6 linked regions of the Callithrix jacchus genome follow. The protein of the gene in region 1 interacts with the protein of each later gene in a pairwise test. Links are inferred from orthologs where the notes say so. Each region holds a gene or a part of one and is shown in the gene's direction. Other genes may lie near its edges.

What was found.
Region 2: the proteins of RBM10 (region 1) and SF3B4 interact in binary tests that used the Homo sapiens proteins (3 or more experiments, as listed by UniProt). The link is inferred for Callithrix jacchus from reciprocal best matches to the Homo sapiens genes RBM10 and SF3B4.
Region 3: the proteins of RBM10 (region 1) and RBM12B interact in a two-hybrid assay, tested with the Homo sapiens proteins (3 studies listed by BioGRID). The link is inferred for Callithrix jacchus from reciprocal best matches to the Homo sapiens genes RBM10 and RBM12B.
Region 4: the proteins of RBM10 (region 1) and THAP1 interact in binary tests that used the Homo sapiens proteins (3 or more experiments, as listed by UniProt). The two-hybrid records come from large-scale screens. The link is inferred for Callithrix jacchus from reciprocal best matches to the Homo sapiens genes RBM10 and THAP1.
Region 5: the proteins of RBM10 (region 1) and CEP70 interact in binary tests that used the Homo sapiens proteins (3 or more experiments, as listed by UniProt). The two-hybrid records come from large-scale screens. The link is inferred for Callithrix jacchus from reciprocal best matches to the Homo sapiens genes RBM10 and CEP70.
Region 6: the proteins of RBM10 (region 1) and CPSF7 interact in binary tests that used the Homo sapiens proteins (3 or more experiments, as listed by UniProt). The two-hybrid records come from large-scale screens. The link is inferred for Callithrix jacchus from reciprocal best matches to the Homo sapiens genes RBM10 and CPSF7.

Annotation. Positions count from the first base shown.
Region 1 is NC_133524.1:48,143,181-48,146,784, forward strand, and holds part of RBM10 (RNA-binding protein 10), read left to right. Parts: intron 1-2,186; coding exon 2,187-2,336; intron 2,337-2,433; coding exon 2,434-2,499; intron 2,500-2,571; coding exon 2,572-2,760; intron 2,761-2,846; coding exon 2,847-2,921; intron 2,922-3,191; coding exon 3,192-3,298; intron 3,299-3,380; coding exon 3,381-3,510; intron 3,511-3,596; coding exon 3,597-3,604. UniProt on the Homo sapiens protein: Binds to ssRNA containing the consensus sequence 5'-AGGUAA-3'. May be involved in post-transcriptional processing, most probably in mRNA splicing. Binds to RNA homopolymers, with a preference for poly(G) and poly(U) and little for poly(A).
Region 2 is NC_133519.1:9,855,980-9,859,617, reverse strand, and holds the end of SF3B4 (splicing factor 3B subunit 4), read left to right. Parts: intron 1-2,429; coding exon 2,430-2,603; intron 2,604-2,713; coding exon 2,714-2,901; 3' UTR 2,902-3,123; downstream 3,124-3,638. UniProt on the Homo sapiens protein: Component of the 17S U2 SnRNP complex of the spliceosome, a large ribonucleoprotein complex that removes introns from transcribed pre-mRNAs.
Region 3 is NC_133517.1:33,452,888-33,456,491, forward strand, and holds part of RBM12B (RNA-binding protein 12B), read left to right. Parts: coding exon 1-1,595; 3' UTR 1,596-3,604.
Region 4 is NC_133514.1:44,607,883-44,612,067, reverse strand, and holds the start of THAP1 (THAP domain-containing protein 1), read left to right. Parts: upstream 1-1,382; 5' UTR 1,383-1,651; coding exon 1,652-1,722; intron 1,723-4,185. UniProt on the Homo sapiens protein: DNA-binding transcription regulator that regulates endothelial cell proliferation and G1/S cell-cycle progression.
Region 5 is NC_133518.1:45,826,172-45,829,775, forward strand, and holds part of CEP70 (centrosomal protein of 70 kDa), read left to right. Parts: intron 1-811; coding exon 812-982; intron 983-3,604.
Region 6 is NC_133511.1:118,415,464-118,419,067, reverse strand, and holds part of CPSF7 (cleavage and polyadenylation specificity factor subunit 7), read left to right. Parts: intron 1-2,493; coding exon 2,494-2,908; intron 2,909-3,297; coding exon 3,298-3,416; intron 3,417-3,604.

The DNA of each region.
Region 1 (3,604 bases):
TGGGCAGTGACTGCTTAGCATACCATGCTCCTCTTCCAGCTCTGCTCTTTGCTGAATGGCCTTGAGCCACAGCAGTCTCCTCAGTGCATGGCAGGGTTGCCCAACTCCAGGAGGTGGCTTGTGCCATCTGAGCGAGCCCTGCCATGTTTCTTTCCCATGGTGGGGACCCTCACATGCTGCTGGTGGATGTATATATGCGCCAGAGAAATTCTCACAGGCCCATAACGGGGTGGGCAGGAAAAAGGCCCTGCAGTGTTTTGGGGAGGTGGGCAGATGAGGGCACCTCAGTGTCTCTCTGTGGAGAAAGGTGTCACCCTGAGCGTAGCATTTACAAGCAAGCACTAAGTGTTCCCTCAGCAACCTAGTGAATTCTAAAAATGGTGCTGTGCTGGGGGGAACATGGAAATATAGAATGTGGCACTGTGTCACACATATAAATTAAAATTAGACACATATAACATTCCTATGCATTTTAAAATGACAAAATGGAAATGCACAACAAATGTGACTGTGTGGGTATGTGTCAGGGGAAGGGGAATGCCTTCATTTGCTGCTCTATAACAGTACCACAGACTGTGGGTAATTTATAAGGAAAAGAGATTGATTTGGCTCACAGTTCTGTAGGCAGGGTGAGGGCCTCTTGCTGCGTCACATCATGGCAAAGAGCAAGAGAGCATGCATGAGACCAAGAGAAAATTGGGCCAGACTCCCCCTTTTTATCAGGAACCCAGTCTCAGTGATAGCATTAAATGGAGACTCAAAAGGTGGAGGAGGTGGGAGGGGGTGAAGGATGAGAAATTACTTAATGGATACAATGTGCATTGTTCAGCTGATAGATGCTCTGAAAGCCCTGACTTCAACAGTATGCAAGCTGTGCATGTAACAAAAGCACTTGTTACCCCATAAATCCATACAATTAAAAAAAAAACAGCCGTAATTTCTTCAGGAGGGCAGAGCCTTCATCTCTTTTTTTTTTTTTTTTTGAGATGGAATCTCACTCTGTTGCCAGGCTGGAGTGCAGTGGCGTGACCCCAGCTCACTACAACGCCTGCCTCCTGGGTTCAAGCGATCCTCCTGCCTCAACCTCCCAAGTAGCTGGGGCTACAGGTGTACACCACTATGCCCAGCTAATTTTTGTATTTTTAGTAGAGTCGACCTTTTGACCTTGTGATCCACCTGCCTCAGCTCCCAAAGTGCTGGGATTACAGGTGTGAGCTACTGTACCTGGCCAAGCTAATCACCTCTTAAAGGCCTCACCTGTCAACACTGTTGCATTAGGGATTAAATTTCTTTTTTGACATGGAGTTTTGCTGTTGTCGCCCAGGCTGGACTGCAATGGTGCAATCTCAGTTTACTGTAACCTCCGCCTCCTGGGTTCAAGTGATTTTACTGCTTCAGCCTCCTGAGTAGCTGGGATTACAGGCATGTGCCACTATGCCCAGCTGATTTTTTTTTTTTACCAGAAATGGGGCTTCACTATGTTAGCCAGGCTGGTCTCGAACCCTGACCTCCGCTGATCCACCCGCCTCGGCCTCCCGAAGTGTTGGGATTACAGCCATGAGCCACTGCATCTCACTGGGATAAAGGCTCCACCTGTCAACACTGTATTATGGATTAAATTTCTGACACAATAACTTTGAGGGACAAAACTGTAGCAGAGAACACAGCCAGAGAGGGGCTTGACAAGAGGCACTGGTGACAGAAAATAGGAACTTGCACTACCATGTTCCTCACCTTCTGCTTGTTCTGCCTCAGCTTCCCCTTATCTCCCTCTTAGATGGGCTCACCAGTCTGCCCACACTGCTTCTGCTGCCTCACCATTGCAGACCAGTGAGGGTGGGGGTACGGGGTGTGTTCAGTGATGAGGTCAGGAGTAGCCAGGTGCCGAATTCCTTGCAGGCTGTGAGAGTTTGGGTTTATTCTAGGTATGATGGGAGGCCGAGGAAGGGTTTTAAGGACATTGTATTTGGGGGTGGGAATGGCTTATACTTTGTAAAAGAGTGCTCTGTTTGGAGAGGTAGGTAGGAGCCATAGCCCGGAGGCCAGATGAAGCCTTTTGCAGTGGTTCAGACTAGGTATGGTAGCCGGCCCAGGTTTGAGGCTGCAGGGCAGTGGGTCAGCAGAAGAAGTTAGTAGCCCCAGAGGCATGAGGGTTCTGGGAACCTCACCTCCACCCTCACCCCTAGATTGCCAAGGACATGGAACGGTGGGCACGCAGTCTCAACAAACAAAAAGAAAACTTCAAAAATAGCTTCCAGCCTATCAGCTCCCTGCGAGATGACGAGAGGCGGGAGTCAGCCACTGCAGATGCCGGCTATGCCATCCTGGAGAAGAAGGTGTGTTGGAGCCACCCCCCTGCACTTTGCCTCACAATCTTGTCCTTCCTTTGGGCCCTCTGTGGAGTCCCTGAATTTCTATGTCCCTCCACCCCAGGGTGCACTAGCCGAGAGACAGCACACCAGCATGGATCTCCCGAAATTGGCCAGCGACGACCGCCCAGTGAGTGCCCAGGGCAGACGGGTGGGGGCTCTGATCTGGCCAGGCCTGACTGCCCACTCTTACCCTCTACAGAGCCCTCCGAGGGGGCTGGTGGCAGCCTACAGCGGGGAGAGTGACAGCGAGGAAGAGCAGGAGCGCGGGGGCCCTGAGCGGGAAGAGAAGCTCACTGACTGGCAGAAGCTGGCCTGTCTGCTTTGCCGACGCCAGTTCCCCAGCAAAGAGGCACTCATCCGGCACCAGCAGCTCTCGGGGCTCCATAAGGTAACTGAGCAGAGGGTTGGCAGGGCACACTGGGGCAAGGCCCACTGAGGCTCAGCCTCTTCACTTCTCACTGTCCCCCCTTGCAGCAAAACCTTGAGATTCACCGGCGAGCCCACTTGTCAGAAAATGAGCTAGAAGCACTAGAGAAGAATGACATGGAGGTGAGGTGTGACCTGCTCCTGGGCCCCCTCCCCTCTGTCCCTTCCAAGTCCCCATCACCTCAGGCAGCTGGAGTTCAAGTTCTCACATGCTAACCCCATGAGCCTTCCCCATTCTCCTACCCTGGCTGCTTGTGTCCATGATGGCCTGACCCTTGGGACCTGAGCCTCATTAGCCAGATGGGGTGCCCTGTGGGACCCCAACCCCATGCCTGTGTTGCCTGAGAAAAGCAACCAGCTCCCCAGCATTCACATACACGTACAAATTTTCAGCAAATGAAGTACCGGGACCGTGCAGCTGAACGCAGAGAGAAGTATGGCATCCCCGAGCCACCAGAGCCCAAGAGGAGAAAGTACGGTGGCATATCCACAGCTTCCGTGTGAGTGGCTGGGCCAGGTGAGGGGATCTCTGGGGTCTGGGGCCTACGTGCCGACCACTCATGCTGTGCACTGCCTCTGCAGAGACTTCGAGCAGCCTACTCGGGACGGGCTGGGCAGTGACAACATTGGCAGTCGCATGCTCCAGGCCATGGGCTGGAAAGAGGGCAGTGGCCTGGGCCGCAAGAAGCAGGGCATTGTAACGCCCATCGAGGTGAGTCTCAAGCAGTCCCATCCCACCCCCCAGCATCCCTCACAGCATCCCCCACCAGCCTGACAGAGCCTGCCTCCCTCACACAGGCCCAAAC
Region 2 (3,638 bases), on another chromosome or scaffold:
GTCTCAAAAAAAAAAAACCAACCTTGTCTCTTTGCTTCTTCTTTTTTAGATCCTCCCCCTCTTTCTCTGACTCCTTAATCTTAGCTACCACAATAGACTTCTGTGGACTTGGGCGTAGATTTTTGTGCTTTTCTTTTCTGCATATATGTGTAGTTTTATGCCTCCTAGATCTGTGTCTCTAGTTCATAGCTGTTAACATTCCAGATCCTTAATGCTGCTGCTTAATAGATAGTGCCACCTTTCTATCCCTCTCCCTCAAACCTATTCTTCCTCTAGTATTCGTTTTTTCCAGGTGCTTAATTCATGAATCTGAGAGCTATGTTTGCTGTGACTGTGGGGAGTATTACCTCACTCTTTTTTTTTTGAGACGGAGTTTCGCTACCCAGGCTGGAGTGCAATGGCGCGATCTCGGCTCACTGCAACCTCCAATTCCTGGGTTTAGGCAATTCTCCTGCCTCAGCCTCCTGAGTAGCTGGGATTACAGGCACACGCCACCATGCCCAGCTAATTTTTTGTATTTGTAGTAGAGACGGGGTTTCACCATGTTGACCAGGATGGTCTCGATCTCTTGACCTCGTGATCCACCCGCCTCGGCCTCCCAAAGTGCTGGGATTACAGGCTTGAGCCACCGTGCCCGGCCTTTACCCCACTCTTAATACTGAGTCTTATTTATGTCAGTGGCATCTCTCCCCATGGCCAGTGCCCCAGTTGAGTCTCATTCCTTCATTTTACACTTAATTTACTGTAGTAATATCCGGCCACTTTGACTCCAGTTTTCACTAACTTTGATCTACTTTCACAGAGTAAGTTTTGTAAAACACAGATGTGCACATGCATGCTCAGAATTCCTCTTTTGCTCCCTTTTACCTACAGAGTAAAACCCAAACTCATTACCATAGCATTCACAGCTCTTTATGGTTTGGCCCCTGCCCCTCATTTCCATAACTGCATTTTGCTCCTGATACTGAGTTACTGGCATATCCTGGAACATACTGTGCTGTTGGAGACACCTGTGATTTTTTTTTTTTTTTTTTTTTTTTTTTTTTGAGACGGAGTTTCGCTCTTGTTACCCAGGCTGGAGTGCAATGGTGCAATCTCGGCTCACCGCAACCTCCGCCTCCTGGGTTCAGGCAATTCTTCTGCCTCAGCCCCTGAGTAGCTGGGATTACAGGCGCGTGCCACCATGCCCAGTTATTTTTTTTTTTATTTTTTATTTTTTTTGTATTTTTAGTAGAGGTGGGGTTTCACCATGTTGACCAGGATGGTCTTGATCTCTTGACCTCGTGATCCACTCACCTCGGCCTCCCAAAGTGCTGGGATTCCAGGCTTGGGCCACCGCGCCTGGCCCAATTTGTGCATGGTAGGCTTTCTGCTTGGGTGCTCTCTTTCCACGATCTTATCCTCCTGAAATATTCGTGCTTTAGAATCAGATCTTTGCTTAGACAGTATGTCCTCTGCTACTTTCTCAAATCCTATCAACAGAGTTATCACTCTGCTTGTTATGTACTTCAGCATTACCATTACAGTGCCTAAGTCACGGAAGAAGCAAGCAAAGACGGTAAGGTCTTGAGTGATTGATTGGTTTGTGCTGTTGGAATGGGGTCAAGGATAGGGCGCACTTTTTACTACCCTTCCTTCCCTCCCTCCCTCCTTCCCTCCTTCCTTCCTTTTTTTTTTTTTTGAGACGGAGTCTCACTCTGTAGCCCAGGCTGGAGTGCAATGGCCTGATCTCGGCTCACTGCAACCTTTGCCTCCCTGGTCCTGGTTCAAGCAGTTCTCCTGCCTCAGCTTCCTGAGCAGCTGGGATTACAGGCATGCACCACCATGCCTAGCTAATTTTTGTATTTGTAGTAGAGACGGGATTTCACCATGTTGGCCAGGCTGGTCTTGAACTCGTGACCTTGTGATCTGCCTGCCTTGGCCTCCCAAAGTGCTGGGATTACAGGCATGAGCCACTGCACCTGGCTGTTTTTTTTTGTTGTTGTTGTTATTTTTTTTGGTGACAGGGTCTCACTCTGTCAACCAGGCTGGAGTGCAGTGGCATAGTCATGGCTCACTGTAGCCTTGGCCTCCGAGGCCCAAGTGATCCTCCCACCTCATCCTCATGAGTAGCTGGGACTATAGGCACTCACCACCATGCCTCGCTAATTAAAAAAAATTTTTTTGACAGATACGGGGTGTTACAATGTTGCTCAGGCTGACCTCAAACTCCTGGGCTCAAGTGATGTTCTCACCTAGGCCTCCCAAAGTGCTGGGATTATTGGCATGAGCCACTGCCCAGCCAGCCTTATTTTCTGGATCCTGTTTTCTATATAGTCCTCTTTCTGATGTCACTTTCTTTCTAATTTTGTTCTCTTCCTTTCTCCATTTTCTTTGCCCTCTTCTCTATCTTTGTCTCTTTTCTTTTTGTGTCTGTTTTATTTTCATAGGGATGACTCAGATGCAGCTGGCACACCATGGCCCTCATGGCTTGGGACATCCCCATGCTGGACCCCCAGGCTCTGGGGGGCAGCCACCGCCCCGACCACCACCTGGAATGCCTCATCCTGGACCTCCTCCAATGGGCATGCCCCCCCGAGGGCCTCCATTCGGATCTCCCATGGGTAAGTCGGCTCTAGCCACCTCCTTCACCTGCACCTAACATGTTCTAACAACTTCCTGTAGGTACACCCCTGTCCCAGGCCCTTACTAACTTTTCTTTCACTTCTTGCAGGTCACCCAGGTCCTATGCCTCCACATGGTATGCGTGGACCTCCTCCACTGATGCCCCCCCATGGATACACTGGCCCTCCACGACCCCCACCCTATGGCTACCAGCGGGGGCCTCTCCCTCCACCCAGACCCACTCCCCGGCCACCAGTTCCCCCTCGAGGCCCGCTTCGGGGCCCTCTCCCTCAGTAAATTCACATTTTCCTTCCTCCTGTTACATCTTCCCAATATCTTTTCGATTCCTTGGACCAATCAGAGATGCTGTAGCTCCTTGGGGCTGAGGCACTAACCTCTTTGAGCACCCCACCCCATTCCCCTTTGTAATGTAACTTTCCACAGGAGGTATTACTTTTTTATGTTGGTTCTGAGTATTTTGCAGATGCACAGAGAAAATAAAACTAAACTCCTTGTGTAGTTGTGGTGTTTGCCTTGACAGCAGTACCTTTTCTCTTTAAGAAGAGATGTCATTAGCCAAGTGTGGCACAGGCCTGTAGTCCCAGCTACTTTGGAGGCTGAGGCAGGAGGATTGCTTGAACCCGGGAAGCAGAGGTTGCAGTGAGTTGAGATCGGGCCACTGTACTCCACCTGGAGTATAAAAATGTCAGAAAAGCTGTCAGAGTATCATGAAAAGAATGGTAAGGAGGAGTAGGAGCAAGGGTGCTTACTCCACATTTTTTTTTGTTTTTTTTTTGAGACCGAGTCTCTGTCACCAAGGTTGGAGTGTACAGGTGCGATCAGAGCTCACTGTGGCCTTACCTCTCAGGCTCAGGTGATCCTCTCATCTCAGCCTCCCAAGTAGCTGGGACCACAGGCATGTGCCACCCAGCTAATTTTTGTATTTGTACAGATGAAGTTTCGCCATGTTGGCTAGGCTGGTCTTCAACTCCTGGGCTCAAGCAATCCCTCTGCCTTAGCCTCCCAAAGTGCTG
Region 3 (3,604 bases), on another chromosome or scaffold:
TATTAAGACTTATATCTGACGCACAAATGCAGGAGTTTGGTGTAAATTTTTCCTTGATGTCCAGTGAGAAGATGCAAGCTCGTTCACAGTCACGTGAGCGAAGTGATCATTCCCATTTATTTGACTCAAAAGACCCACCAATATACTCAGTTGGTCCTTTTGAAAGCTTTAGACATCAGCTGGAGGACCTGAGGCAACTGGATAACTTCAAGCATCCCCAGAGGGATTTCCGGCAGCCTGACAGGCACCCTCCAGAAGACTTCCGACACTCCTCAGAGGATTTCAGGTTTCCCCCGGAGGACTTCAGGCGTTCCCCAGAGGACTTCAGGCGACCTCGGGAAGAGGACTTCAGACGGCCTTCTGAGGAGGACTTCAGGCGCCCTTGGGAGGAAGATTTCAGGCGCCCTCCGGAGGATGACTTCAGGCACCCTAGGGAGGAAGACTGGAGGAGGCCCCTTGAGGAGGATTGGAGGCGGCCACTGGAGGAGGATTTCAGGCGGTCTCCCACGGAGGACTTCAGGCAGCTTCCTGAGGAGGACTTCAGGCAACCTCCTGAGGAGGACTTCAGGCGGCTCCCAGAGGAAGATTTCAGGCGGCCATCCGAGGAGGACTGGAGACGGCCCCCAGAGGAGGACTTCAGGCGGCCTCTTCAGGGAGAATGGAGGCGACCACCCGAGGATGACTTCAGGCGGCCCCCAGAGGAGGATTTCAGGCACTCCCCTGAGGAGGACTTCAGGCAGTCACCCCAGGAGCATTTCCGGAGGCCACCTCAGGAGCATTTCCGGCGGCCACCCCCGGAGCATTTTCGGCGGCCACCCCCGGAGCATTTCAGGCGGCCACCCCCGGAGCATTTCCGGCGGCCGCCCCCGGAGCATTTCAGGCGGCCGCCCCCCGAGCACTTCCGGAGACCGCCCCAGGAGCATTTCAGGCGTCCGCCTCAGGAGCATTTCAGGCGTCCGCCTCAGGAGCATTTCAGGCGCTCTCGAGAGGAAGATTTCAGGCACCCACCAGATGAAGACTTCAGGAGCCCTCCCGATGAAGACTTTAGGCACCCACCTGATGAGGACTTCAGGAACCCCCAGGAGGAAGATTTTAGATGCCCTTCTGATGAGGACTTCAGGCAGCTCCCAGAGGAAGACCTTAGGGAAGCTCTGGAGGAGGACCCTAGACTTCCTGACAATTTTAGACCTCCTGGTGAGGATTTTAGGAGCCCGCCTGATGATTTCAGAAGTCACCGCCCTTTTGTGAATTTTGGTCGCCCAGAAGGTGGCAAGTTTGATTTTGGAAAGCATAATATGGGAAGTTTTGCTGAGGGGAGATTTATTCCTGATCCAAAGATAAATTGTGGTTCAGGTAGAGTAACTCCTATTAAGATAATGAATCTTCCATTTAAAGCTAATGTTAATGAAATTTTAGACTTTTTCCATGGTTACAGAATCATACCTGATTCAGTTTCAATACAGTATAATGAGCAAGGCTTACCTACAGGGGAAGCCATTGTTGCTATGATAAACTATAATGAAGCTATGGCTGCTATTAAAGATCTAAATGATAGGCCAGTTGGGCCCCGAAAAGTTAAATTAACTTTGCTATAGAGAGCATTTCTAAATTCAGTTATCTTCCTTGCAGTATTGATAGAGTAAAATACATTTGTTTTTAAAAGGTGTTTTTTTTTTTAATCTAGTGAAGTGTTTTAATTTTGACCTGTGAATAGAACAAATGTAAATAGTAGAATGTGAATCTGGTTTTCTTTTGCTTGCAAATTGCCATTCATTTTTTTTCTAATTTAAAATTATACATGCTGTTCTTTTCTTTGATGGTGAGAAAGAATTCCCTGAGTTCATTCATTTTTGTTGATGTCATGGGTAAGCTTCAAGACTCACTGAAGTAGAGTTGTATTTGGGGAAGTTACATTTCACTTTTTTTTCATTCTGTAGTCTACATTTTTTACTCAAACTATGTAAGGAAATAGTGACTGACTGTTCAGGTTTGGCATTTTCATTGCTACCTGCCTGCAGAATTAACGCCCTCTTTCTTGTCTGAGATATTACTGTGTTAAGTGTCCTGTTAATTATAAATAGTTCAAAATGGACAGTCAACTTGAAATTTACTTATGTAAAAAGCTTAGGTGATTCTTAGGGTTTCCATGTTCAAAACTTTACAAAGTTTTATAAAAATAAAATTGCAACTTAATAGAGCAACTAATTAACTTGTATTTGTATAAAAAGAAAAAAGAATTGCAGCTTGATATTGTGAAGTTTTTCAATAGCTTTATTAAACCATATTTCTGATGAGAGGGACCAGACATTCTATAATAATAATGTATAGTGCTGTGTGTAATCCCATGGTTTCTTCGACATCTTAACAAAATAAGAATAATACAACATATTCAAAAGACAGTAAAATAAGAATCTAATTGTAGGTGCAAGGGGACTCGGGCTTATGCTGGGAAGAATCTGACAAATGGTAGTTTGTTTTTCTAGGAAGAATCTACTGATGAGTCACATAACTTGCATGTAATACTAGGTTCTCATTTTTTAGCTTCAAAACTTTGTATCCATGCAAAGACTCCATAACTAAGACTTGTGTGGTTGAATTTTGACTTCTTAGATATTCAGCATTTAGTGCATACATTTCTCAGATAGGAAATTTGATTTTCTATACCCATAATAATATTATGGCTAACAGGCACTTACTATGTGCTAGGCACTGTAAGCACTTTATATGCATAATCTCAGTATTCCCTATGAGTACAGGGTTAGTTATTTACCTCTGTTTCACAAATGAGATAATGAAGTGGGAGATTAAGCAACTTGCTTGAAGTCACAGGTATTAAATCATGGGGCCAATTTCAACCCAGACCACTGACTCCAGTTCATGCTTACCTTTGTTGCCTCACTTTTTTAAATGGTATTTTAAATTAGGAATCCATGCTAAAAGATAACTTGCAAAGATAAGTGATATTTTCTTATTTCAATTATTGGTTTAAAATTAGCATTAAAAAAGGTAAAACCAGCATGCTCAAACATTGTTAATTGAAAAAAAGTGAGTGACTTTAAAAGTTTCTTTATATTCAGGGTTTCTCTGGGGATACTCACATTGTATATTACTGGCTTCTGTTTCAGAATTGTTCATTTTATTTGACATGATTGACTTTGGTTGGCCTTTTATAATTTACATAAAACATAATTTTCCTCAGTTCTGTAATCCAGATTTAACACGTTGAGTAAATAAGAATACAGTTAAATTTACATATGGTAATTTAAGGATATTGCATAGGTAGAACACTTTGTCAGTAATTAATCAGTTAGTACCTTATGTATTTTTGGTGTTACTTTTCAGTGATTTAAGGAAATCTAAGAAAAATCTGATTAAATTTCTTGGTTTTAAATAGTGAATAAACAAAATCTGTTCACTATAGAATGAATAAACAGGTAAATTTGATACAAAAAAGCACCTCAGTATGATTCTTGATAAGCTTGTAAGTAGCTAGGATAACGTTAAATTGATTGTTTGGAATATCGAAACCAAGCACAGTGAAGAAAGAAAGAAATATTTTTAATTGAGCAAAGATTGTATAGATGGTTCATTTGGTCAGCCATCT
Region 4 (4,185 bases), on another chromosome or scaffold:
TAAAAGATACACTTGTTTATATAAAGGATAAAAAAAAAAAGATCATGGGAGATGTGCTCTGTTGCAAGGGTTTGTGATAAATGATTAATTACTATATTATGTAAGAATCAATATCATCTTTATGAGACAGTCTCACTCTGTCACCCAGGCTGGGGTGCAGTGGCATAAACATGGCTCACTGCAACCTCCACAGGATCAAGTGATTCTCCTGCCTTAGCCTCCAGAGTAGCTGGGATTTGAGGCATGTGCCACCACATCTGGCTAACTGTTGCATTTTTAGAAAAGAAGGGTTTCACCATGTTAGCCAAGCTGGTTTCGAACTCCTGACCTCAGGTGATCCGCCCACCTCGGCCTCCCAAAGTGCTGGGATTACAGGCCTGAGCTACTGCGCCCTGCCCAATAAAGCAAAATTAGGAATGCTTCTGTTCTCAAAATATCAGGATATCTGGACACTTGGAAGTCTGGGTCTGTTTAGTAAATATTATCAATCTGTTGCCTTAACTGTAAACATCTAGAGACTAGGAATACCTAACTTTCTGGGAATGCAGCCTAGCAAGTCTCAGCCTCATCTTCCTAGCCCTCACTCAACACAGAGTGGCTCCAGTTTATAACCCCTCTGACATAGTCTCTCTCAGATGTGAAAAGTTGCTGCAGCACCTGGAAATCACAGCAATGGACATCCCTTCATAAAAGCTTCTGGAGAGGGCCTGGTGGTTCACTCCAGTAATCCCAGGCCACTAGGAGGCCGGATCCCTTGGGCTTGAGTTCTAGACCGGCCTAGGCAACGTGGGGAGACACCGTCTCCATTTTTTAATTATATATATATATGTGTACACACGCATACATATATATACACACATACATATACATACATACATATTATAATGCTTCTGCGTTTGGCAACTGAGATTATTTGGTGAGTGTGTCTTTCTTCATTCCTAAAAACCTGTCACATTGCTCTCACAGAGCTTTGTGATACCTGAAGAGGCAGGCAATGGGATAAAGATCAGCATTCTGGGAAAAGGTTCCACAATTTTATTAATTATACACGATCTGTGCCTGCCCTTTTAAACAAATGGGAGGAATCAGACAACGACCTCGGCTTTACACCTGTTCTCCAAGAGGCCCCAGTAGTTTCCTACTCTAAGCCGCCCCAGGAAAGCTCCAGATCAATTAATCCGCCGGAACAGCCCGGGGTTTGAGGTGGCCCCTGGAATCCGCCCTCCCGCCGCACCTCCTCCTCCAAGCAGTTCCTTCCTTCCGGCCAGAAGCTCAGGGCTCCGCCCACTTCCGCAATTCCGAAGCCACCACCGGAAACACCTGGCCTCAGCCAATAGTCAGCTTCCCAAGGAAAGGTTACCTCTGACCTCAGAGTAATCAGAGACAGTGGGACGCACCCCTCGCGATAGGTGAGGTTGAAGCTGCCTCCGCCATCTTGGAGATGGGAGAAGGGCGATGGCTGTGGTCCTTCTGCTAATGCAAACAACAAAACGGGCACACTAGTCACTCCCGAGGGAGGCCACCATCACTGTAACTGTTGGCCAAAGCTACAAAAGAAACGAGGGTGTCCAACCGAGCGCGGCGACACTGAAAGCAGCTTCCCCTGCCTTCTGCGGCGGCAGAAGTGAAGTGCCTGAGGACCACCGGAAGGATGGTGCAGTCCTGTTCCGCCTACGGCTGCAAGAACCGCTACGACAAGGATAAGCCCGTTTCTTTCCACAAGTGAGGACCCTGCGCACCTCGTGGGGCCGGTCCCAGCCGGGGTGGGGGCGCGCGGCCGGCGGGGCCGGGGGCGGAGCCAGGCGCGTGTCCGCGCGAGGGGCGGGCGGGGTCTGGGGCCGGCCGCGCGGGGCGTTTCCCGCCGCGTCCCGTGGGGAACCGCCGCCCGGCTGCGCGTTCTCGGCGCGCGTCGCCGTGAAGGCCGTTTCTTGCGCTCCTGAAGCAGGCCCTGGGTGCAGGCTTCGCTCGCGGCCTGGGTTGACGACTGCGGAGCCCGCGGGCAATGCCCCGGGTGGCGCGGATTTTGCCAGCACCAGGGTCACAGACCAGCCAGGTGGAATAACGTCTTAGGGGTGAATTTGAAATAGAAACAAAGGCCTTTAAACGAAGAAATTACTACCTTTTTCGCCCTTACGGTGGATGGGAAGCCAGCATCGTAGCAATTAAGGGTTGATTTTTTGCCTGGGAAATCAGGGAGAATTTTTGCCCCCAATCTCTAAGAACTAAGCTTTAAGGACCCTAAGTTTTGGAGAAAGCTTCAGGTACTGCCAAGATAAATCGTTCTTTTCAGCCCACAATATTGATAATATGGACAGTTACAACATGGATCATAATAAAATGGCTCACACTGACCTTTATTTATTATGGCATTACGTGTGCATAGAGGAAGCCCTTGCGGAGGAAACTCACCACAGCTTTCAGAGCTGTTTTATCCAGTAGATAGCGCAGTTAAGAGTGCTAGGATCAAAAATATTCTCTTGAAAATGGGAAAAACGTGCAAAGTTGAAATTACTATCAAACGCTTGTAAAATGTGACATAATATTTTCATTCATCTGAATTTTAATTACATTTATGTTAAGTTTTCTTTGCAAGATTTCCTCATGACTATACGCGGATGATAGCTAAGAAATCAGATCCAGGGGTAAACTATACAAGTTAGCCATAGGTAATTAGCTAATTATCTTTTATAATTAGGTAAGTAATTACAAAAGCAAAATGTTAAATAGTCTTTAAATTTATTTATATGTTTTGGTGTGGGGCCATCTATGTTTACTAGAGGAGTTTCCATGCATTTTTTAAATGTTTGCTATCATGTGAGATGGACCCTATAGAAATAAGAGTGTGTAGAATATAGGGAGGTCTCCAGAGTAATGATGTTACCCCCTCGAAGTGGATAGAACATGTTCAGGATGTCCCAATATTATCTCTTGATTTAATTGGAATTTCTGTAAACATGTACTTTAAAAATGTAGGAATAGGTCAGGTGATGGTAATAGGATTACATGCACAGCTCCCCAGCCCACATTTCTGATGGCGTGGCAGAAGGAATCATAAAATGGAAAATGTTTCATCAGCACTGGAAACTAGTTAAGGATGGTATTCACAAGTCAGAAGTAACTGTGTTTTTGGCCAGGCGTGGTGGTTCACGCCTGTAATCCCAGCACTTTGGGAGGCCAAGGTGGGCGGATCACCTGAGGTCAGGAGTTCGAGACCAGCCTGGCCAACATGGCAAAACCCTGTCTCTACTAAAAATACAAAAATTAGCTGGGAGCGGTGGTGCACGCCTGAGGCAGGGGAATCACTTGAACCCAGGATATGGAGGTTGCAGTGAGCTGAGATCTCGCGCTGCACTCCAGCTTGGGTGACAGAGGGAGACTGTCTCAAAAAACAAAAACAAACAAAAAAACACTGTGTTTCTACTAGATGTTAAAACAGATGTGAATTGAATCAAAAGAAGGGCTAACCTGAACCTTATCCCTTATCTAAAAGAGCAGGTGTTGGGAGAAGATGGGAAAGATCTTAACAGAGAAGCTCACAAACAGCTGTAAATTTATTGTCCTTGAGACAGGAGGCCCTGCGTACTGAATTTTACCAGCTAATGCTACCATAGTTTATACCTATAGAGGCCATTTCCAGCTGAGATATTTTAGTGGTAACACTTCTCCCAGCTTCTACATAGTGGCAGTAGAGAGAGCTATGTTGTACAAAGAAAAGGGACTCATAAAGATCTCTTAATAGCAGAGTGAAGCTCTAGCATACTGAACATGGAAGAGAAACTGTAGAACATAAATTCACAATGTTCTTCTCTTTGTTTTTTTTTTTCTCCTAATCCCCCCAGTTTACCAGATCCTTAACTTGGAAGAGTAAAACTAATAAATGTAAACTCTCACTTTCCTCCTTTACCTGAGCCTGATGGACATCCCAGTTGATTAGAAAATACTTTTCTCTCATCATTACCTGCCTTTAATTTAATTCAAATTTAACCTATTCATATTTGTCAGACTGATGCTAAAAGAACTAGAATAGAAGCCTCTTTTTCCCAGTACATAGATACAAATGTGCAATCTTTGTCTTTCTGTGCAGCACACAGAAAATTACTGGTAAAAAATAAGAAGACAGATTATTTTTTTCTTTTTGAGACAGGGTATGGCTCAAATATATCTTATATTTATCAAATATATCAA
Region 5 (3,604 bases), on another chromosome or scaffold:
GCCTCAACCTCCTGAAGTGCTGGGATTACAGGCATGAGCCACCATACTCAGCCTGAGGATTACTGTTAATTTCCTTAAATCATCTGATAATGGTCTTGTGAGTTTGTAGGAGAATATGCCCACTTTTAAAAGATGCATACTTTATTATTTGAGGGTGAAGAGTTAGGATGTCCACATTTTCTTCAAATGGTTCACCTAGAAATACAGATAGTGAGCAAACATGGCAAAATACTAACAATTGTTGAACCTAGGTAGTGATTATATGGGTGTTTGTAATAGTTAATTTTGTTTTAAGTTTACTGGGGCACAGGGTGCCTGACATTTGGTTAAACGTTATTCAGATGTGTCCGGGAAGGTGCTTCTTGATGAGATTGACATCCGAATCAGTAGACTTAGTAAAGCAGACTGCCTTTCCTAATGGGGTGGGCCTCATCCAATCATTTGAAGGCCTGAGTAGAACAAAAGGCTGAGTAAGAGGAAACTCCTCCTGCCTGACTGCTTTTAAGATGGGACACTGTTTTTTTTCTGCCTTCAGACTCAAACTGAAACAGCACTTGCAGGGATCTCAGTCTGCCTGTGTTCAGACTGCAAATATCCATTAGCTTTCCTGGGTATTCTCTTCCTCACTGCAGATCTTGGGACTTGTCAGTCTTCATAATTGCATGAGCCAATTCCTTATGATAATTCTCTTTGGTATATTTAATGAAATATATATATGTAATATATAGACATATAAAGCACACCATTAAAATATATAACTTTGCAGGCATAGGATAAATATTTTGACTAAATACACTGTTTTTTTTTAAAGGTGCTATGTAGCATCAACTCAATTATCCACAATCCAAGAGCTCCAGTAATAATTTATAAACAGAGCAAAGGGGGATCCCAAAATTTTAATAAAGATCTTGTTCAAGATTGTGGATTTGAGCATCTTGTTCCCATAATAGAAATGTGGGCAGATCAGCTGACATCCCTAAAGGTAAGGGGTTGAATATTATTTATATGCTTTGAATATCTATTAAACTCTATGTGCTTTATTAATATGACTTAATTTGGGGTGAAAATTAAATAGAGCTTAACTTTTGTGTTAACTGTAAAGATGAAAAAGCTTATCTAAAACGGAAATCTTCCTATTTACATATCTGTTTTAGGTACTGTCTATTTGATGTTGTCATTATTGTAAGCTTTACCTCCTCTAAGGTTCTACCAGACAAGAAATTTTTGGGCTAATGCCCTTATTGAGAATCTGTAGTGGATCCACATTGTACTTCTAGGCCCTTCCCTATTCTACCTTCATCTGCCTCCTGTTGCTATCACGATGCCACGATTTTCTTGGCGCTTATTCCTCCTCAGATATAATGTCTTATCCTTTATTTCATTATAATTGGGGATATTTTCTCCCTCTTCACACTTTATTTTCTGTCTCTCAGAACTGAGCTTATCTTCATCTCTGCTTATTCTCAAGAACAAATAGTAACTCTATCTTTCCCTATCCTATTTTTTCGTGGAAGACTACATTTTATTTACTTTATAGAGCTATTGTGTGTTTATTGCGTAGCTTCAGGTTTTTTCAGTTTTTGTTAACTAGTTTGCTGAAAAGTAAATAGTTGAAATTAGTAGCATTTAACTTCTTTGTCCTTTAAACTTTAGATTTCTTAGTAACTAATATAATACATAGCATATGTCTGTTACTGAAAACCTGATTCAATGACAGTGTTTGCCACAGAAGTCCTATTACATGAAGTACAAATAATGCAGAAGATATCTGTTAAGAATGTATAAGCTCCATGAAGACAGTGTTTTGTCTTATTTGTTCTCTGGCACATCCCCAATATCCTCCTGATGCATGAGTGCGCAATTAATATTTGTTAAACTAATAAAGCAGAATAATATATTCCAAGACAACAAAATTGGGAGTGGTGATGTTAATTTTTTAAAAATTTCTTTTTATATAATTTTTTTTAATTTATAAAAATTTTCCTTCTTATATAGGGCTCAGACAGAGCTATACAATACATAGACATTTTGATTGAGTGACAATGCTGGATTAATATACTTACTTTATAGGCTGGAGTCCCTCCACTCTGTATCTCAGAAGAGGGTAAAATAATTAGTAATTGTGTAAATCATTGTATTTCCTCAATCGGTGCCCGTCAGAGGGTTCTCCCAGTAGGAGGGAACAGTGCTGACTCTACCTTTGTCTTTCTCAGAAGGGATGGACTAGAAAAGGCCCTAAGACTAGAGACGAAAAAGACAAAGGGAAGAATCACATTAATGGATACTTACTGTTCATTTGCCATGCTAAGCCATTATGGGATAAACACAAGATTCAGACTAATTAGACAAAATATACTAAAAAATATGAAACAACATTTAATCATTTATAATATCATTAAAAGAAATTAGTGACATAAAAATCAATTACCTGTGATTAAGTTCTAAGTGAGTGATGCAGATAACTTGTGCTCTAGAGTCTGGAGGAGAAAGAGAACACTTTGATTATAGCCCCCAAGAAAGGCTTTGCCATGGTGGTGAGTTCTTGCTATTGTATAGTTTTCTGAGTGGGAGGAGGCAGGAATTTGCTTTATATTAGAATATTCTGAGGGCACCTAAGAGGAACTTATTAGGAATTAGTTACTCTGCCATTGAAGTAACTCATGGATTTTGAGCAGTGCCTCAGATATTAATAATACTACAGTTTTAGGGTCCAAATTAAGAAACTACATGAGATTCTCCGAGGTCTCTTATCAAAGGTTATTTATAACGTAGCAACCTCTACGTTTGGGACAACTATCTTCCCAAATTAGTTTTTTTCCCTTAGGTTAAATTTGGCTTTAAAAAGTAGGATAGGTGTGAGGGATGAATGGATAAGCAAAATGTGGTATATACATACAGTGCCATATTATTCAGCCATAAAAAGGAAAGAAATTCTGACCCATGCAACATGGGTGAACATTATGATGACATTATGCTAAGTGAAATAAGTCAGTCACAAGAAGATTCCACTTACATAAGATACTTAGTGAAAATCATAAAGACAAAGTAGAGTGGTGATTACTAGCGGGAGGAGGAAATGGGAAGTTGCTGTTTAAAGGGTGTAAAGCTTCAGTGTTACAAGATGAAGAAGTTATGGAGATGGATGGTGGTGTTGGTTACACAACATTATGAACATTTTTAATAACACCGAACTTACATTTAAAACTGGTTAAGATGGTGAATTTTATGTCTATTTTACTAGTTTTGAAAATTGGAAGAAAAGAAAGCTGGGAAAGACATGGAGCCAGCTGCCTCCATCTTTCTGTCTTTTCCCTCCTGCCTTTCCAAGAAAGTGAACTACAGATGTTATAGCTTCCCCCAACCCAGTACACTCTTGAATACTTTGACTTTCCTATTCTCCAGTGCTTCAGAGGCCAGACATACATGGTAGGCCGGCCCATGGTAGTACTTCTACGTCTCCACAACTAGGCAATGTAAAGAACCTAGGAGACCCTCATATTTTTCAAAGCTTACTTGATGAACTGCTACAACCATCCTCTCACTGCTTAGGAGACCAGAACATCTTTTTCTTAGCTTTGTAATACTCTTTTATTCTGAAGCAAAA
Region 6 (3,604 bases), on another chromosome or scaffold:
CAAAACAAAAGAGAGTGTTAAATCAGACTACCTTAGTTTGATGACAGTTTCCTTTACATTCATCTTACTCCCTTTATTCTGACTGTACTCACTAAGCCCCTTTCTGATGTTAATTTAGTTTACCAATTAGGCTCTCCTACTGGGAAGAGAATGCGCTGACCGGCCAACAAGTATACTGGTCTGCTTGGGCAGTTATATTTCTCATTGTAAATTAATAAATTGTGTTCTGGTTTATGAATCAGTCTTTCGTGAGTTTGGTTAGCATGAATTAGGCTCCTAGGGCCCAGTCACCCCAGTTGAAGCAAGTTTCTGAACCTAAGGACCAGACCTTGGATTTTCCTGACCTCATAAAGTGCAGCCACCTTACAAGGCCCTCCCTGAAACAGCCAACCACCTTTATTTTCTTTTGCTGTAAGGGAAATAACAGCAAAGTTTCATCACCAATGTTCTGTTGCTGCTTGGATCCAGGCTCAAAATAGTGTCTTGTATTGATTGCGTGTATCCTCCAGGTAGAAATAAGGCCACTTTGCTCCTGCATAGGAACAGCTGTTCTTTTAACTAGATTGACAGCCTTGATAGATTTGGTGTGAATTCTTACTGCTCCATGTTAGAAAGGACACACTTTTCTTCCTTGACAAGTCATGTTTTCAGGTACCCTCTGTTTTGGAGTCTCTCTGTAATTCACCCCTGGCTTTCCTTAGGTGTGTAACTTTACAGCTGTATTGGGAGTAACATTCCTACTTCTACTCAGCTGCTTTTCATGTTACCTTTCTTTGCTGAAAAGATTGTGGTAACTGAGTGCTGTTTTTCTTCTCTGTCATGTTGATGGACCTAGCCTCTGTTAATTTACTAAGTAAAGCTGGTGAGCTTCCTCTGCATAAAAGCGGTTGCCTCTTTTGGGACTTACAGCCATAGATACAAAATAGAACCCTTGCAAATGTGAAAACGGTAGTAGCTGGGAAGGTGTTTAGCTGTCAGATTACACTTGCCTAATACCTTTTTGTTCTTCAGTTTAAGAGAACTCTAGGAAAGAGCCATTTGCGGCCGGGTGCAGTGGCTCACGCCTGTAATCCCAGCACTTTGGGAGGCCAAGGCAGGCGGATCACGAGGTCAAAAGATCGAGACCAACCTAGCCAACATGGTGAAACCCCGTCTCTACTAAAAAATACAAAAATTAGCTGGGCGTGGTGGCATACACCTGTAGTCCCAGCTACTCTGGAGACTGAGGCAGGAGAATGGCTTGAACCCAGGAGGCGGAGATTGCAGTGAGCCGAGATTGTGCCATTCCACTCCAGCCTGGCGACAGAGCAAGACTCTGTCTCCAAAAAAAAAAAAAAGAGCCATTTGCCATGTGTTTGAGACATGAAGAACAAGACAGCACTGGCATTGTTCTGTAATACAAAAATCTAGGTGGTTGTCAACATAATTGATTCCACCTTAGGCTTTACTCAGGAATTGGGGTTAACTGTCATGTTCTAATTTAAGGAGCACTCTTTCCTTCCACACCTGATGCCAGTGGCATCTTTCTATCTCCAAGACCCCTACAGAGCCCATGTGATCCTGTTCTTCTGTTGGATTCCCCATTAACCAGGCTTAGACTATTAAACTGGAGAGGAGCAAGTTTAGCCAAGTGACATGACAGTGTCAGAAGCCATGCTTCCAGCTGTTTAAAACACGGTCTGAGCTCCTGCACTGTGCACATCACCATGAGGTGATGGTGTTTCTAGTAGGCTGCCCTGAGTTGTAGAAGATTTTGGCCATTGAAATGTAACGGGAGTTCCCCAGATTTGAGACTTGTTTTGTAGCAAGCTTTTGCTAAACATCCTTACTGTCAGCTATGTGCCATCTGTTCATTCTGTGGGCAGATCTTTTGTTGGCTTATCTCCCAAGTTTCTCTTAACCTCCAATTGTCTACTTTTCATGTGTGTGTCTTTCTCACCCTGATTACTCATTTTAGTATGTAAATATAAGTGCTATTCAGTTCCTGCCACTCCTTCTCTTCCCCTAAATTCCCTATTCAATGCCCCTTGGCAAAGAGAACATTTTAAGTGTGCAGCAGGAAGAGGTTAACTAGTATTAGTCTAAGGAGAGAGATCCTTAACTCTTCAGGAGATATGGGGTTTCAAGTCAACTGCAATTTACCTGAACATCAGTGAACACTGTCATTTCCTTGTGGGCCGTTAGGATCCTACATTTAAAAATAGAACACATATGTAAGGATGAATTAAATGTGTTCTGAAGTACTTTTGGAGTTCTGGATGAAAAACATTCTTTGACAGGATTTAGGACAATATTGTATTTTGGATATATATCTTCACTGATTTGCTTCTGACCTCTGAAGCCAAAGAAAAGGCAGTAGATGATTTTACCTTGTTTCTCAGACACTTTAGTCAGCTTCCTCTGTATGGTGTCTGATAACTCCTGCAGGATGAGCTGGTCCTATGGGTTTGTATAAAGCCTGGGCAGTAACGTTAGTTCTGTTTTGCTTCATAGGAATACCTCCACGGGCCCATTCTCGAGATTCTAGTGATTCTGCTGATGGACGGGCCACACCCTCTGAGAACCTAGTACCCTCATCTGCTCGTGTGGATAAGCCCCCCAGTGTGCTGCCCTACTTCAATCGTCCTCCTTCAGCCCTTCCCCTGATGGGTCTGCCTCCACCACCAATTCCACCCCCACCACCTCTCTCCTCAAGCTTTGGGGTCCCTCCTCCTCCTCCTGGTATCCACTACCAGCATCTCATGCCCCCACCTCCTCGATTACCTCCTCATCTTGCTGTACCTCCCCCTGGGGCCATCCCACCTGCCCTTCACCTCAATCCAGCCTTCTTCCCCCCACCAAACGCTACAGTGGGGCCTCCACCAGATACTTACATGAAGGCCTCTGCCCCCTATAACCACCATGGCAGGTAAGGACTATCTTGTTCCTTTCAGATCTGAGCCAGGGTAAATAAATGTATTAAGCATTTTATTCTCCCTGAGAAAGTGAGCACTGATTGCTTGCTCTTTCCCTTATGGACACACTGTTGTCATAGCATTGATTCCTGGGAAATAGTTTACTGTCTGTTTGTTAGTGTTTTTATTTCATGTTTGTATTGCATGTTAACCACTTGACGCAAACCATGTCCCTCATATCCCCCTTTAAGGTGCTTAATTAAATTAAATGCTTCAGGCAGCTGCTATGAATGCTACAGATGACTAACATTGTTCTATATTATGCCAGAATTACAAAAGTATTGTAGAATACCATAACAGTAACGAGGTGTGAGCAATCAAGGATGGTATTCTCTTTGTACAGCCGAGATTCGGGTCCTCCACCCTCTACAGTGAGTGAAGCTGAATTTGAAGATATCATGAAGCGAAACAGAGCAATTTCCAGCAGTGCCATTTCCAAAGCGGTATCTGGAGCCAGTGCAGGTAATTCGTGCTTACCTTTGCTGCCTTTTCCTTAACCTTTAGTTTTTTTCCTTATTTTGTCATTCCAACTGGCAGAAGTTCAACAAGATAAAGTTGGAGTGCTGTAGATATCAAGGTGGCACACTTGGAAAAGCAATATATAACCTGCTTTCTTGGCCTTGAGGAAGCTCCTGTGTCTAGGCCTGCCC